Linked DNA regions of Ovis aries. The protein of the gene in region 2 interacts with the protein of the main gene of each other region in a pairwise test. Links are inferred from orthologs where the notes say so. Each region holds a gene or a part of one and is shown on either strand. Other genes may lie near its edges.

Region 1 (4,569 bases), about 33 Mb from region 2:
GGTGTGTGGCCTGAATGTTGGGGTGGATAGGATTCATCCACGAATCCTCGCTAGAACCCTCCAAGCAGGATGACTCTTGCTCCCGTGTGCCCAGTTCATCTTATTCTAAAACGCGTATTTGTTCCCTGTGTCTCACTCATTTATTTGGCTGTACCAGGTCTTAGTTAAGGCATGTGGGATCTATTTCCCTGACCAGGGATCAAAACTGCGGCCCCTGAATTGGGAGCAGAATTTTAGCACTGGACCACCAGGGAAATCCCAATGTCTCACTCATTTTAGAACCCCAGAGTTCAGCCCAGATCTTGGCCCTCCCGCAAGGGCTCCACAGAACCCAGGTGAATTTCAGCACTTCCAGGCCTTGCAGGCTTAGATTAACTAGAGATTAACTATTCAGGCGACAGAGAGAAATAGCGCCAAGTGTATCCAAATTAGTGCCTGGACCAGTAGGCTGTAAACCCTGACATAGAGTCTCCATCTACCTGTTTCTGAACTTCTTCCATTAAGAAAATGAAGACATCCTCTGTGACTGGGGTCGGGCTGGGGGCAGTGTTATATGCAGGGCAGCCAAGCCTGGGGTCCTCCTCAAGGCAGCTGAAGGCAAGAGGGGGCCAGGCCTTAGCCTTCTCTCTGATGAAGGCTAAAAGGACAACCTAACGGTCCTAAGTAGCCTCTGTGTTCAGAGAAGGTGGCGTAGAGGGCAAGGCCACCTTCCCAACACCTTCCCTCCCACTGGAGTCGCACGCCCTTGTCCCAGCCTCTGTTCTGCAAGGTTAGCTATGACTTTGGGCCAAAGTTTCCCCTCTGAGCGCTCAGGTCACCATCTTTATCAAAGGAAAAACCCTTTCCAGCTGCAATACATACTAAATACCAACTCTAGATGCCAGGAGTGGTATCCAGGTGCAGAGGACCAGGAGACAGGACTACCCTGGGACCACATTACTGTCCCCCGCCAGTCCCCACCACACACACACATGCCGGCCCACAACCAGAGAACAGAAATGGAGAGTTTATTGAAAACTATATACAGTTGGTCCAGCCCCTACCACAGGCTGTAATCTGGGCAGGTCCTTCCCACACCTCAGGCAGGATCTCAGTCCCTGATGGTAGAGACCAGGGCTGGGGTCAGGACCCAGACTCCCTTGGGAAGCTTGACTACCAGACCCCGCATGGAACTTCATCTGTGAATTTACTAAATGGCCTGTCGGTAGTGGGCAGGGGAAAAGCCTGGATAGGGGATCTCTATTCTGCAACTTGGGCCCAAGAGGCTAGGGCCAACTAGGTTGTCTGCAGGTCCTGGCTACTCCTCCAACAGAGGGTCTTCCTGGAATGTGCAGGTGAACAGCCCCACTACCACCCCACCCCACATGCCAGGCCCCATGGGCTGCACAGGCTTGGACTGGGGGACCTCAGGCACCCTCCCTCCCAACACTGACTCAGGGCTTCAGCAATACTCCTCGGACAGAAGACCCGGGGTTGAGAGGTGAGTGTTGGGGTGGTCACGGCTGTGGGGTGGGCCCAGGAGCCTCCTGAGGTAGGGGGTGGCTTGGGGAGTCAGGGCGTCCCGCTGTAGGAATAGTCAGCTTTGTTGTGCATCACCAGCCGGTCATCCACGAAGTAGAAGCTGTCGGACTGTGTCTCATACGGGTGACGGATCATCTCGTTGACTGCAAGAGAGGCCCAGCCAGTTGGGGCAAAGGTCAGGAGCCTGAGCCAGGTCACAGCAGGGGCTTCAGGACTCGGGGACAGGGATAAGCTGAACAAAGAGTTCCCCCAGCCTCTATGGGTCTCAGTTTCCCTATAGGTGGCTTAGGAATGGTGGCTAGACACAAGAGAGCTGGAAAGGGAAGAGAGGGGCTCAGACCCACATTCCCTCCAACCTGGTCCCTCTGAGTCCCCCGCCCCCAACGCACTCAGCTCCTCGGAGAGGGCAGGGAAGTCGTAGATGTGCTCGCAGGTGTTCTTGCTGCTGGGGATGCAGAAGCCAAAGTGGAAGTCGAAGCTTTTGAGCAGCTGGTTGCGGAAGTAGTGCCTCTCAATCATGCGGAAGTTGTTGACAGGCTTGTCTCCCACTGTGAACTCCACCCTGAGCAGACAAGGGGGCGGGGCTAAGCTGGGCCCCAGGAGGGGCTCAGCAAGAACTCAGGAAGGGCTCCTTCCCACCCCTACCCCTACCCCTCTCCCCAGCCCAGTGACTCACGTGGCTCCCACCTGCCTCAGGCGGAGGAAGGCAGGCGTGAACTGGTAGCGGACAAAGCGCCCAGCATTGGGGTCCAGGTCCCGCGGGTTGATGGGCAGCCGCTCTGTAATGCACCCCAGCTGGGGCTCAGTGGGCTTCAGGTGGGGCCCATGCCCACCCGGAGTTTCACCCCAGGGACCTCATCTGTCTGAATTTCTTTCAAAACTCCTCAGGAGATCCTGATGCATATTGAGGGTTCAGACCATTGGCCAAATGCTTCCAATTGCTTCTAAATTGGTCAGCAGGTCACCAGTTTCAACTGAGAGTCCCAGAGCCCCAAGAGATAAAAAGACCTGGGGCCTCTGGGACTGCAGTTCCCAAGGGGGCCTACAGGGGGCAGGCTGGCAGGGACTGAAGAGGCAGGACTGCCCTCTCAAGACGTCCAACCCCAGGGACCCAGGGGAAGGTAAAACAGCAGCCCAGCCCCAGGCAGAGGGCCCTGCTGCTTGGTGACTGCTGGGGAGACTTGAGTGCCGATCTCAGCTCTGTTCTGACTCCTCAGTGGCCTCCGGAGTCCCTGGGCGGCCAACTTCCTCTGTGGATGCTGGCGTACCCAATGCACTCACCTGAAGCTGGGGGCTTCTTGATTTCAAAGAGGACAGTGCCTGAGTCCATGTCCCGAATCTTGAACCTGACGAAGTCAATCTTGTAGATATTCTCCTCGGGGGAGCACAGGTAGTCTAGGGGAGATAGGCGGCTGAGCAAGGCAGGGACCTAGCTACCCCAGACTAGCTACCACTTTCTCTGATCCCTAGGGTGACTGCTTTGCAGACAGAGAGAACTGAGCCTCTAACCTGAGGGAGCCCCCACAGAGTGCGGGGGAGACATAGCTCTGCTCTTGTGATCTAATGGTGGACAAATGGTTCTCTCCTGGTAGCTTCTGGGTCAGGGAGGGGCAGGAGGGAGGACAAGACCACCTCCCCCACACTTTCGCTCCCACCTGGGGGTGGAGGGCCCTTCATTCCAGCCTCTGCTATGTCAGGAGTGGCTCAGTGACTTTTAACCAGATGAGTCTAGAATCGGGTGGGAAGCCCCGCCCCCCACCACCCTGAGAGGGACCTCACTCTAATGGGGGTGACAGCTCTATTTGCAGAGAGGATACGCCGGTGCCACATCTAAGTGTGTCAAGCAAGGACTTTATCTGACCTAGGTAGTGCTGGGGCAAACAAACAACCCCTTCCCTGTTCTTCCTCACCCCCCAGGCCCCTCCTCTCCCCATAAGAGGCTTATACAAACCCAGCTCCCTTAAGCAGCTTAGTCAAAGCTCTGCTGACTCAAGCCCAGAGCCTGGAATATTGGGGGGGAGCGGGGTGTGGAGAGGGAAAGGGAGCTACCTTTGCTCTCATCCCCCACTGATCTTCAAACAAGAGGAGGTCTTAGCAGAGGAGGTCTATGGAGGGAACCCCCCCTTAAAGGTAATCCATCCACCCTTGACTCTGAGCTACCCCCAGAGAGAAGAGGCAAGGCCAGTAAGAGGGTGTGGCAGGTATAGCAGGGCTGTGACTGGGGTAAGGGGAATCCTTGAGCCCAGAAGAGGAACCACGAACAGTGGTGGGCTCGGCTTGAGGAAGCTCAGAAATAGCAGGGCCTGATCCAACCCTCACCACTCTTGCAGCGGCAACTGCAAGCACTCAGGGAGGAGGCCCCAACAGCAAATAGGAAGAAACAGAGAGGTGCAGTGGGGGCTCTGGTGCCAGCACAGCATCACATCCTCCCTGCAGAGGCCCGGAAATCACCCGCTAGGCCCCTAGGCCACCACTGATTTCTCTGGGGCAGGAAGAGGAAGTGAATGTAAAGTCATTCTCTCTTCCCAAGCATGGGGCAGCCCCCTCCAGGAAGCCCTCCTGGTGGCCACCTGGCACTTGGGGTCCAGCAGGGACTACACAGGACTTATGGTGGGGCTGGAGCCCTGGCCTGCCCATCACAGCCCACGGTGGGGAGAGGAGGAATGGAAGTAGGCAGGTCCTGCCTCACCCTGGACACAACTTATTTTCACAGAAAGTAAACACTAATCCAAAGACGTAGGAGGAAAGTGCAGGGCAGAGGAGAGGAAGAGGCAGAACTCAGAACAGCACCCTAGTCGCCCAGCTCCTGGCTCCCCATAGGGTTCCACTCCTTCCCCCATTCCCTAACTTCCAGAGACTCTCCTCTCACTGGAGAACAACTGGCAGTGTGACCTCTGTCTCTTCTACTGCAAACTCAGCCTATCAATCCCTTTGTCCTTAGAGGAAGTGAGGAATGGAAGATGCCCATGGCTCAAGACACCACCTCCACTCCCTCCCCCAGCTGGAGAAGGATGATGCCTGGGACTTGGGGTCAGGCCCGATAAGGGG
Region 2 (5,029 bases):
GCCATTTCGGGTTCTCTGCCAAAGACGAGGCTGCGGGGCCTTCTCTCTCCTGCTGTGGGCACTGGGCCGGGGCTCCTTCCCTCCTCACTCAGGTTTGTTCCGCCCCAGCCCCCTGCCTGCTCTGTGGGCGGCTGGCTGTGCTCACTGCTGAAGTGTGTGCTCGCTTGGACCTGTGGTCACACTCTGTGCCAGTGCCTCTGGGTCACCTTCCTGGCAGCCGAGGGGCAGGGCTGGTGCCCACCCCGGGGGACCCTGTCTCTGATCCCGCCCTGTGGCCACAGGGAGGGGCTTTGCCTGACAACACCCAGCTTTATGTAAATATCCCAGGTCTGTCAGGAGGTACCGGACGCACCCACAGCCCCAAGACTGCTCTGAATGTATATTACAAAGCCTTGGGGGAAGGACGCACAGCACCCTGGGATTCTGTTAGACTAATTCTGGAGATGGAATAAATGGTTTTCTCATTCATAGTCTCCATTGTCATTAGTGGGGCCTCTCCCAGTTCCACCGAGGTGCAAGGTGCAAGCTGCAACTGAGGCCTTCTGGAACCTAAGTTGTGGCAACCTGCCCCTCCACAGCCCAGCAACTCCCCCCACCCCCACCCCGCCTGGGGTCTCATGCCTCACGCTGCCCTCCATCAGCATCTTAAAATAGCAACTGTGCTCAGCTTGTAAACAACACAGCTTTCCTGGGCCGCCTTGCCAGGGTCCTGGCATGCCCCTGGAGGGGCAAGGGTCCTCTGCTTCCTGTAGACAGGACTCAGAACCCCTGCAGCCCATCTCAGACCCTTGGGGAGCCGACCTAACTGCCCAGCCCACGCCAGGGAACGAGCTCCCCTCAGGCAGGAGGCCAGGGCCCACGAGGCAACTCTGGGCTTCCCCTTTCGAGCAGTGAGAGGGAGCTGTCAAAAGTGGACCCCAATAGTTTCAAGACCCCAAGTAAAAATTAATAGGGTTTGGGGATTATGGTCTGACCGTGGTACTGCACCTCTGTAACCTGCCACAAGCCAGTGAGAGGGAGAAGCTGGGGTAAGGGTGGGGAACTGGGGCCCCATCTGGAACACACAGCCCAGGCCCACCCCACCCTGGAGCACCCTCACCTTCCCATAAGCTGTCCACAGCCCGTTTCCCAAGGCACGGCAGAGCTGGTCTTCCTGGCTCCTGAACTGTCAAGTGTCTGTTTCACAAAATAAAACCTGACCTCACAGCCCCAGCTGGCAGCACAGACCAAGGCTTCATCTTTCCAACCAAGCCCCAGGCTCCTGCATCCACTCATCTTGACCTGAAACCCTCCCAGGCAGAAGAGCAGGCAAACATGCCTGTTAGAACACTTGATGCTCATATCTCAGTTAAAAAGATTTGTGGTTAAGGGGTCAGGAGTACTAGAAAAAGATTTGAAAGGAAATCCCCATACCTGAATCATGTCAGAGGTGTCTATAGTGAGACCCGGGGAATCCCAGACAGTTAAAAGAGAAATAGGCTTTTACCAACCAATAGATTTTAATATTAGTTATCAGTTCCACATACACACAGCCCCCACCTCCTTAGAAAACAAGCCCCTGGGAGCTGAGCCCCAGAGCAGGGTGAGTGTCACCCACATGGGAGAAGCTGTAATTCCGGAGAAAATGATCGCCAGATCAGGAAGGGCTTTCAGCCCCAAAGGAAATAAGAAGTCCAGCCATCCCCAGGGGCAGCCAGGAGCCCATCCCAGGCAGAGGGACCAAGTCTTTGCGTGGGAAGAGGCCCACGCTGAGCCAGAGGTGCTGGGATATGGACTTCCCAGTGAGAACAGAAACTCAACAGCAAACGCCACAAACGGGGAAGAAGCCGGCGACGCCGATGTCACAGCAGCTTGCGGCTTGGCCTCACCCCAAGAGGGATGGCTGCAGCGGCCAGACCCCGCCCCATAGGGCGGCCAGCTCCGGCTTGGGGAGACTGCGATCGCCCCGCAGCCGCCCCGCAGCCGGGATGGGAACTGAGAAAAGCTGGTGGGCAGGCAAGGAGGGAAGTGTGCAGTGCAGACCACCAGCCGCCTCCTTGGCCTGGGAAAGGGCGCAGCAGCAGGCCAACTGCTGGTGGTGAAACCTCTACCCGCCCCAACCCCGCCCCCCGCCACTTCCTCCTCCAAGAAGGCCCGGCATCCGCCAGGGGGCGACAGCGGGCGAGTGGGGGGAGCAGGTGGCGGGTGAGCGCCCGCCCCAGCGAGGGGCCAGTGCCTCAGTTGGCCTGGCTGCACTGCCGGATCTGATGAGTGGCAAACAGCTTCCGGACTCCCGCGGCCTCCGCGGGCTTTCCCAGTGTCATCGGGCAGTTCTCCTTATTTTCTTCGCTGTCCAGCACGGCGGGCTGACCCGAGGGCTTCTTGAAGTAGCACAGGCGGCACACAGAGTGGTACTTGTCTGCTCCTCCAATGACCTCGACCTGACGTGCGGTGCGACAGGAAGCGCCTGGACTGAGCGGGGCTGGGGCGCAGCGCCCCACCCCTCGCCTCTGGGAGAAGGCAGGGGGCGGCTACTTCCTTCTCCATACCCAGCCTCTAGGTGTAGGCGCCCCTCCCTGCCCCCCACCCGCCCATCCCTTGGAGAAGGCAGGGGGCAGCTACCTCCTTTTCCACGCCCAGCCTCTTGGTGTAGGCGGCCTCTCGGAAGCACTCCATGCACACCGCCGTCAGCTTGACCACGCTCTCTGCCAGGGGCACCAGGTTCAGGATGGTCCCAAAAGCCTGTACAATCCACAGAAAGAGGAGTGCACACTCATTTCGCCGGGTGGGCTTTTCCTGGAGACCCTGACTCACACCCCTGAAGCCAGGAAACTAAGCCTGGACCTTGCCTTTCCCCAGAGCACCTGCCCTAGGCAGGTGGAGTCAGGGGCACCCCAGGGAGCTGGGACTGGCTGGCCTGAGTGCCTGGGCTTAGGCATGGTGTGGGCATCAAGGGCGCCCTGGGCTGTCCATTTCTGTGCGCTGCCTGGGCCTCTGTCCCCGGTCCCACCCCAAGACCTGGACCAGACACTTCACCTTCCTCTGAAAGGTCCCATCCAGTGCAGCCACGATGACGGTCTTCCCTGAGTTGGCCATGTTCTCGCAGAACTCCACAATGTCAGGGAACTAGAGGAAAGGGTGAGAGGCGGAGGAGGGAGTGAGCTTCCGCCCTGGGCAGCCCCTTCCAGGAGCTGCAGACACGCTGCCAGGCCCAGGAGCTACAGCTACCTGCATCCACGTGGAGCTGAGAACAAGGCCGCGCCAGCCCTCCCATCTGGTACACGGCCTGCACATCCACAGCTTCCCGACTCACTCCCCCATCGCACCAACTTTCCACAGCAGAGCCAGGCTGCGCTCCAGGCTAGGCGCCTGGAACTGCCACCAGGGTGATGCAACCCAGGTGGAGAGGCCGTCTGCCACTGCAGTGGACCAAAGCTTGGATCCGCTGCCTCAGGCTTGAACCAGGTTCTCCGTTGGACCCATTAGCTGTGACCCTGGCAATGACTTCATGTTCCTGAGCCCAGGAAAAGGCAAGGAAGGCCCCTGGCGATGTTTAAGGATTAAGGACACGCAAATAATTTATTACATATGCTATCTGGCTGAGAGGCAGGCTCTGTGTGTTTGCTTTTATTTTTTTCTTCTTTTAAACATAATGTGCCGTGTGATGCCTGGAGAAGGGGCAGGAGTTCCACTGGCCACTTACAGAGCAGGATGGCTCAACACACCACCCGTGGGAAGTCCTTACTTGGTAAATCAAATTTCATTTCAAGTGGCCCAAGGGGCCACTACTTAAACAAATCCTTTGGTGACCTTTCACTGGTCAATCATCTATCTGGTCTGTGGGTTGGATGAAGTGGGGAGTTCCAGTGTTTGGGCAAAGGGTCTCTCTCCAAGCTACTCGTGGAGATGCGTAGTTACAAAACCCGAGGGCTCACCCAGACAAGGACCAGGACAGGGCTTAGAGAACCCAAACCAGTTCCAGCAGGATTCACCAAAGCCAGATCTGACTGGCCTCTGCAGGGTTTGCAGGGTTTGCAGGGTCTGCCGAGCCTGCACTATGGAAATGGCACCTCCCACCCCTAGGCTCCAGCCTGGCTCTAGGTGAGGCCCCTCCTTTTCTCTAAAGGACTTGTCACAGGTCACAGAAATGCAGCCGCTAGCCTGTAAGGACCTGTCGGCCAGTGCCCCGACCCGACCCCCATTGTCACAAACAAAACTGTTTCTAGACACTGCCAGAAATCCACGGGGAAGGTTGAGAGCAGAACCACCCTGGGAGGAGCACCTTCTTCATCTTACCTTCCCTGTCCAGACATGGTCCCTCCACACCAGGGTTTGGGGACCGCGAGGGGTCCTCCACCCTGCCTGCTACAGTGATGCCCGCGGTCAGAGAGCTCAGTTCTTCCACCTGAACTTTGCGCCCTGTTCACATGCCACCCCACTCTCTGCCCAAACACTGAACCCAGGGCCTGCAGCAGGGGTTCCTGAATGATCGAGGTACAGTCAGAGCTGCCCAGCAGGGGTTCCTGAATGATCCAAGGTACAGTCAGAGCTGCCCACGTTGTCTGCAACATCGCAGAAGGCCCACTGGTAACCAACCACCTTACTGACATTTGTTTCTATCGCCACTCATTTTTTTAGGTTATATTATGGGTTGACTTGTGAACCCTCCCACCCACCCCTAATTGTTATGCTGAAACCCTGACCCCCAATACCTCAGAATGTGACCTTTTTGCAGAGGTCATCCAGTTAAAGTAGGCGTGTAGGGTGGGCCTCACTCCAGTAGGAATAGTGTCCTCGCGAAAAGGGGAAACTTGGACCCAGGGACAGACAGAGAAGACGAATGTGAAGAGGCAGGGAGCAGATGGCCACCTGCACGCCGAGGGGACCGGCTGGGACAGACTCTCCCTCGCGGCCTCAGGGGAACTTGCCCTGCCCACACCTTGATCTTGGGCTCCCAGCCTCCAGAGCTGTAGGAAATGAATGTCTGTGGTTTAAACTGCCTGGTCTGCAGTGCACATTAGAGCAGCCAGAGACCCCAATACAGGCTACA
Region 3 (4,946 bases), on a different chromosome or scaffold from region 2:
CCTAACTCCTGGGACCCCATTCACATTCAAGATCCTCAGAGGGTATTAGTTACATTATATAAAACCACCAGCAACATGAAAGTTTAACAGTGAGGGGCTAATTATACAAATGAAAGCATGCAAAGGAATATTACATGGCGCTAAGGTGTTTCCCAGAAAGAATAAACACTGGAAAATGCCTGTGTAGCAGAATCGCCATCAGGATGAACAGGGCTCATGCAGAGAAAAGCCTGGGGAGCTGATTAAACCCGTGGTCTTGCCCCGCAGGCCGTGGAGTACAACATCTTTGAAGGCATGGAGTGCCACGGCTCCCCGCTGGTGGTCATCAGCCAGGGCAAGATCGTCTTCGAGGATGGCAATATCAACGTCAACAAGGGCATGGGCCGCTTCATTCCCAGGAAGCCCTTCCCCGAGTACCTCTACCAGCGTATAAGGATCCGGAACAAGGTGATGGTCCAGGGCCTCTGCCTGAGCCTCCCCTTCCTCCTGTGTAGGAGGAGGGAGCCAAGGACTGGAGTCGCGGTACCATCCCCTGTGCAATGGAGGAGGGAAGCCGGTGTGAGGCTGGGGCGCTGTCACTGACTCACACTGGGGACCTGCTTGTGTCCCTGGCCACACGCTGTCTCCCAGTACCTAAGGCAGACGCCCACAGACCCCTGGGTGGCTCTGAGCCCACTGGTGGGCTCCCAGCCTCCCACCTGAGCCCCTGCAGGTTTTAGCTTCTCTGCTCAGGGCTCTGTCCCCTGGGGCAGCCCTCAACCCATGCAGAGAGCTGGGGTCCTTGGCCCATTCACTTCTGGGTCCCAGCAGAGGTTTGTGTCTGCAGTTGCTCTGAGCCAGCTGCCGTTAGAGGTGACCCTCTCATCCTTTCTCCATCTGTCTGGGATCACCTTCCAAACAAACTACCCAACATCCCCTAATCCACAGTGAAGACAGGCCCTCGGATGCCCCGAGTCCTCGGTTCAGGGGTCCTCGTGGGGATGTCAGGGAAAGTGTTTTCCTCTTGGAAATGGCTTTGCAGTTCTGCAGGAAGCTGTGTGTGTGTGTATGCGTGTGAGTGCATGCATGCCTGTCTTTACATGAATGTGTGTTAGGTTGTACGTACGCATGTGTGATGTGTGCATTATATGTGCGTGTTAGTGTATGTATGTAGGCATGCACGTACATGTGTAAAATTGTGTGTATGCATGTGGCGTGTGTATTATGCATGTTAGTTGGGTGTCCAGGCTGGTGTGTGTGTGTGTATACACATATGTGTGAATTACGTGTATGTGGAGTGGGGGTGTATGGCGTGTGCGTGCATATGCATGCGTGCACACGCGTGTGCGCGTGTATTTAGGTATGCCGGTGGATGTGAATGTGTGCCTGTGTGTGGCGCGTGTGCAAGCATGTGTGTGCACACTTGTGCATATTCCCAGGGAGACCACAGGTCACTCTCCTGCACGTGGGAATGCATATGTGCATCTTGTCAATCAGTTGCTCTTCTCACCCTTCTCTCAGGTTTCTGGGTTGCAAGGGGTTCCCAGGGGCATGTATGATGGGCCTGTGTACGAGGTGCCAGCCACACCCAAATATGCAACTCCCGCTCCTTCTGTCAAATCCTCGCCTTCCAAACACCAGCCTCCACCCATCAGAAACCTCCACCAGTCCAACTTCAGCTTATCAGGTGAGAAGCTACAGCAGCCAAGGGTCCCCATCCTGCAGTGGCTCCCAGCGCCCGGAACTCCTGAGAAACGGACCCACAGCCTCAGACACCCAAGGAACCAAAGATGGGAGTGGGGGAATCCCTTCCTCCCTTCCTCCCGGGGTTGTGCAGAAAGCAGAGGGGGTCCATGGGGGCAGCATAGAGGTACATGACCCTGGTTTATGAAGAATCTGCGTAAATTGTCCATGTGTTCATCCTTAACGCACTTGGGTCCACCATGAAGCTGAGCATGGAGGGGAAGTCACAGTAGCTGCCTTTGCTGGGTGTATCTTCTGGGTCGGATCTTTGGCTAGTCCCATCCATGGTGGTTTATCACACGCTCATGACTGTTTCAGCCTCACAGCAGCCCTGTGTGTAGAGTCATATTATTCACACTTATTTAAGGAGGAAATGAAGGCCCCAAAACATTCAGTGTCAAAATGCCAGGGCTTGATGCTCAGCGAATGTGTGTGGACAAAAATCAGAAGTTCCTGTGGTCCCTCAGCCTTTCCGAAGGCTCTTGGGATGCGTGTCTGCAGTTTCATCAGCTCACCACACGAGGGCAGGCGTGCATGTGTTGGGACCTTGGAATTTCGATTGAGGCGTTAGCATGGGTTACTTGCTGTGCCAGGTACTAGGAAGATGATGATGAATAAGACATGGCTGGGCAGCCTCAGTCCAGTCCAGAGGTTGGCAGACTTTTTCTTAAAAGGCCAGATAGTAAATATTTTAAGTTTTGTGAGCGAAGAGGCAAAATCTAAGACCATCAAAAAATGCAAAAACTATTCTTAGTTCATGGGCTGTACAAAAACAGAGCTGAGTTTTGTCAGTGGGCTGATTTGTGGTCCAGCAGGAGTGAAGGGCAGTTAAATAGAAAGGCAGTATGGTTGACAAAAGGGAGAATGGAAGGACAGAGAGAAGATACCAGTTTAAATACCAGTTTAAATTGTGGGGGTGACCACCTACCACAATAATTCAGGGATCATGCAATGGGGGACATGAATTAAGGGGTCCCTCAATCCAGACCTTCTTGCCTTCCCTGAGCCCATTTGTTCTGGAAGGAAAATCTTCTGACCGGACCCTCCCCACAATACTTCTCCCCAGCATTATCCAGCTTTCAATATTTACTTAATACATATTCGTTGAGTGCCGGCACAGCTTAGTGCTGGAATTTTAAATCTTTAACTGCAAGAGAATGCATGAGATTGGAACGGACGGTTAGCTTTGCAGATTTAAAACAAAAAAGGCTGTCCCTACCTCCATGCAGATCTGCCTGTGGCAAATGGGGTGGGTAGATCCAGCTCTCAGTGTTCACACACAGGCACACATGCATGCCCACACATGTGCCCCCACACGTAACACATAAAACACCTTGGGAACGTTGGACTTTGGGGACGGACCACTTGGGGCTAGAATTCGGGCTTTTCTGCCCTCCAGTGGTGCCCCTACAATGGGTGACCTGAGCCTCAAATTCGTCATCTGTAAATTGGGGGTAAAACAACACCCCTTTCACAGGACTGCTCTGTGCCCTGAACTCAACAACATATGCTTTAGCACCAAGTCTGTGCCTGCACATAGTAGGCAATCAATAATTATTTGTCCCCCTATTTTAGGCTTCCCTGATAGCTCAGTTGCTAAAGAATCCACCTGCAAGGCAGGAGATGCCTGGTTCGATTCCTGGGTTGGGAAGATCCGCTGGAGAAGGGATAGGCTACCCACTCCAATATTCTGGCCTGGAGAATTCCATGTACTGTATAGTCCGTGGGGTCGCAAAGTCAGACACGATTGAGCAACTATCCCTTTCCCCTGTTGCAAGAACATGAGGCCAGACAAGAAAAGAGAACAGAGTGGTCCGTGCTGCAGGAGGGTGGCCCCGGGACCTCGTGGGGCATAGAAGAGAGAGCACTGGACCCCGTGGAGGTCAGGGAGCCTTCCCAGCGGTCACCCTGGACTGCAGGGTCGGGAGGATGGAGGGCTGGTCAAGACAAGGGCTGCATGTCCCAAGGGCCTGACATGGGGACATGACACGAGAGGCATGAACAGCCGGCGGAGCTGGTGTCCACAGATCTCCGAGTGACTGGCCGTGTCTCCCCCCAGGCGCCCAGATAGATGACAACAACCCGCGGCGCACCGGCCACCGCATCGTGGCGCCCCCTGGCGGCCGCTCCAACATCACCAGCCTTGGGTGAAGGCGCTGCACGGATGAGCCAGAGTGAAGGATTCTGGGAAGGACGTCCATCCCTTACCCTGTCAGTGTTTGGAAGCCCGCAGTTGTGTTTGGTACTGATGGAGGGGGGAGGGAGATGGAATGATGTTCTTTCCCTTTTTTTGGTTTAGGAAGAAGTGGTACTAGTGTGGTGTGTTTGCTTGGAAATCCCCTGCCCACAGTCGTGTGTTCATCTGAGTCCACCTCAGAGCATGGCGTCTCCACAGGCCCCTCCTTAGTGAACACAGGTTCTGACCTTGTCTTGTACTGTTCCCTCCCACTCCTGACGCCACGGGCTCCATGGTTCTCCGAGTGGTTCCCTTGCACCCCTCTAGCTGTTCTAGGATAGTTGATGCATGTTACTAAGTTATGTATGCGAGTCCGTGCGTGCGTCTGATGGAAGACGGCCCGAAGACCCAGGTAGACAGACACGAACCCAGACCTCAAGCCCCCGCGGGGGGCAACTCCAGATCTCTCACGAGGAAAGTATGTCCTCATCGGCCCACCCCCCACACCCCCGGTGAGATCCTGGGTGGGTTCTCCCAGCCAAGAGAGCCCCCCACGCCCACCTGCTTACCGAGAAGCATCATCCGCGTCCTGTGTCAGGAACCCTGGTCTCCGTGGCGCCGGTAGCTCGCCATGTCTTTCCGGTCCGTGTGTGTCCTTCCAGCCAGCTCCGGACTGCAGGCCGAGCCAGGTTCACCCTCAGAAAGGGGTCTCCCGCCCGCATTCAGGGCTGAGGACGGTGGGGCCACGGCTGCTCCCGGTGCCCATGTCCTGGTCCCTCCAAGGCGGATGATGGAGCAGTCAGATTTTTAAAGTTTTGTACATAGTTTTCCTTTGTAATCACTCCCATTTTTACTTAACGACTGACTTATTGTGACTCTTATTTCTGAATTCAAAGCTTGTGAAAAAATAAAATCAATGGCCCATTCCCGGACTGGGGTGTTGGCATTTAAGTGGCGGCTGGTTGGGCGCACATGCTTGGACCTTCCCTTCATGGTAACCAGACAGCGGTGCTCACTTTAACAAGGACTCGTTAGGTGGTGGGGGACA

The links.
Region 1: the proteins of TK1 (region 2) and UNC119 interact in a two-hybrid assay, tested with the Homo sapiens proteins (2 studies listed by BioGRID and IntAct). The link is inferred for Ovis aries from reciprocal best matches to the Homo sapiens genes TK1 and UNC119.
Region 3: the proteins of TK1 (region 2) and CRMP1 interact in a two-hybrid assay, tested with the Homo sapiens proteins (2 studies listed by BioGRID and IntAct). The link is inferred for Ovis aries from reciprocal best matches to the Homo sapiens genes TK1 and CRMP1.

What each region holds. Positions count from the first base shown.
Region 1 is NC_056064.1:19,954,024-19,958,592, forward strand, and holds the end of UNC119 (protein unc-119 homolog A), read right to left. Parts: intron 2,917-4,569; coding exon 2,803-2,916; intron 2,301-2,802; coding exon 2,198-2,300; intron 2,084-2,197; coding exon 1,911-2,083; intron 1,665-1,910; coding exon 1,552-1,664; 3' UTR 991-1,551; downstream 1-990. UniProt on the Homo sapiens protein: Involved in synaptic functions in photoreceptor cells, the signal transduction in immune cells as a Src family kinase activator, endosome recycling, the uptake of bacteria and endocytosis, protein trafficking in sensory neurons and as lipid-binding chaperone with specificity for a diverse subset of myristoylated proteins.
Region 2 is NC_056064.1:53,319,339-53,324,367, reverse strand, and holds the end of TK1 (thymidine kinase, cytosolic), read right to left. Parts: intron 3,106-5,029; coding exon 3,016-3,105; intron 2,722-3,015; coding exon 2,602-2,721; intron 2,421-2,601; coding exon 2,217-2,420; 3' UTR 1,481-2,216; downstream 1-1,480. UniProt on the Homo sapiens protein: Cell-cycle-regulated enzyme of importance in nucleotide metabolism. Catalyzes the first enzymatic step in the salvage pathway converting thymidine into thymidine monophosphate.
Region 3 is NC_056059.1:104,103,321-104,108,266, forward strand, and holds the end of CRMP1 (dihydropyrimidinase-related protein 1), read left to right. Parts: intron 1-267; coding exon 268-447; intron 448-1,500; coding exon 1,501-1,666; intron 1,667-3,781; coding exon 3,782-3,873; 3' UTR 3,874-4,830; downstream 4,831-4,946.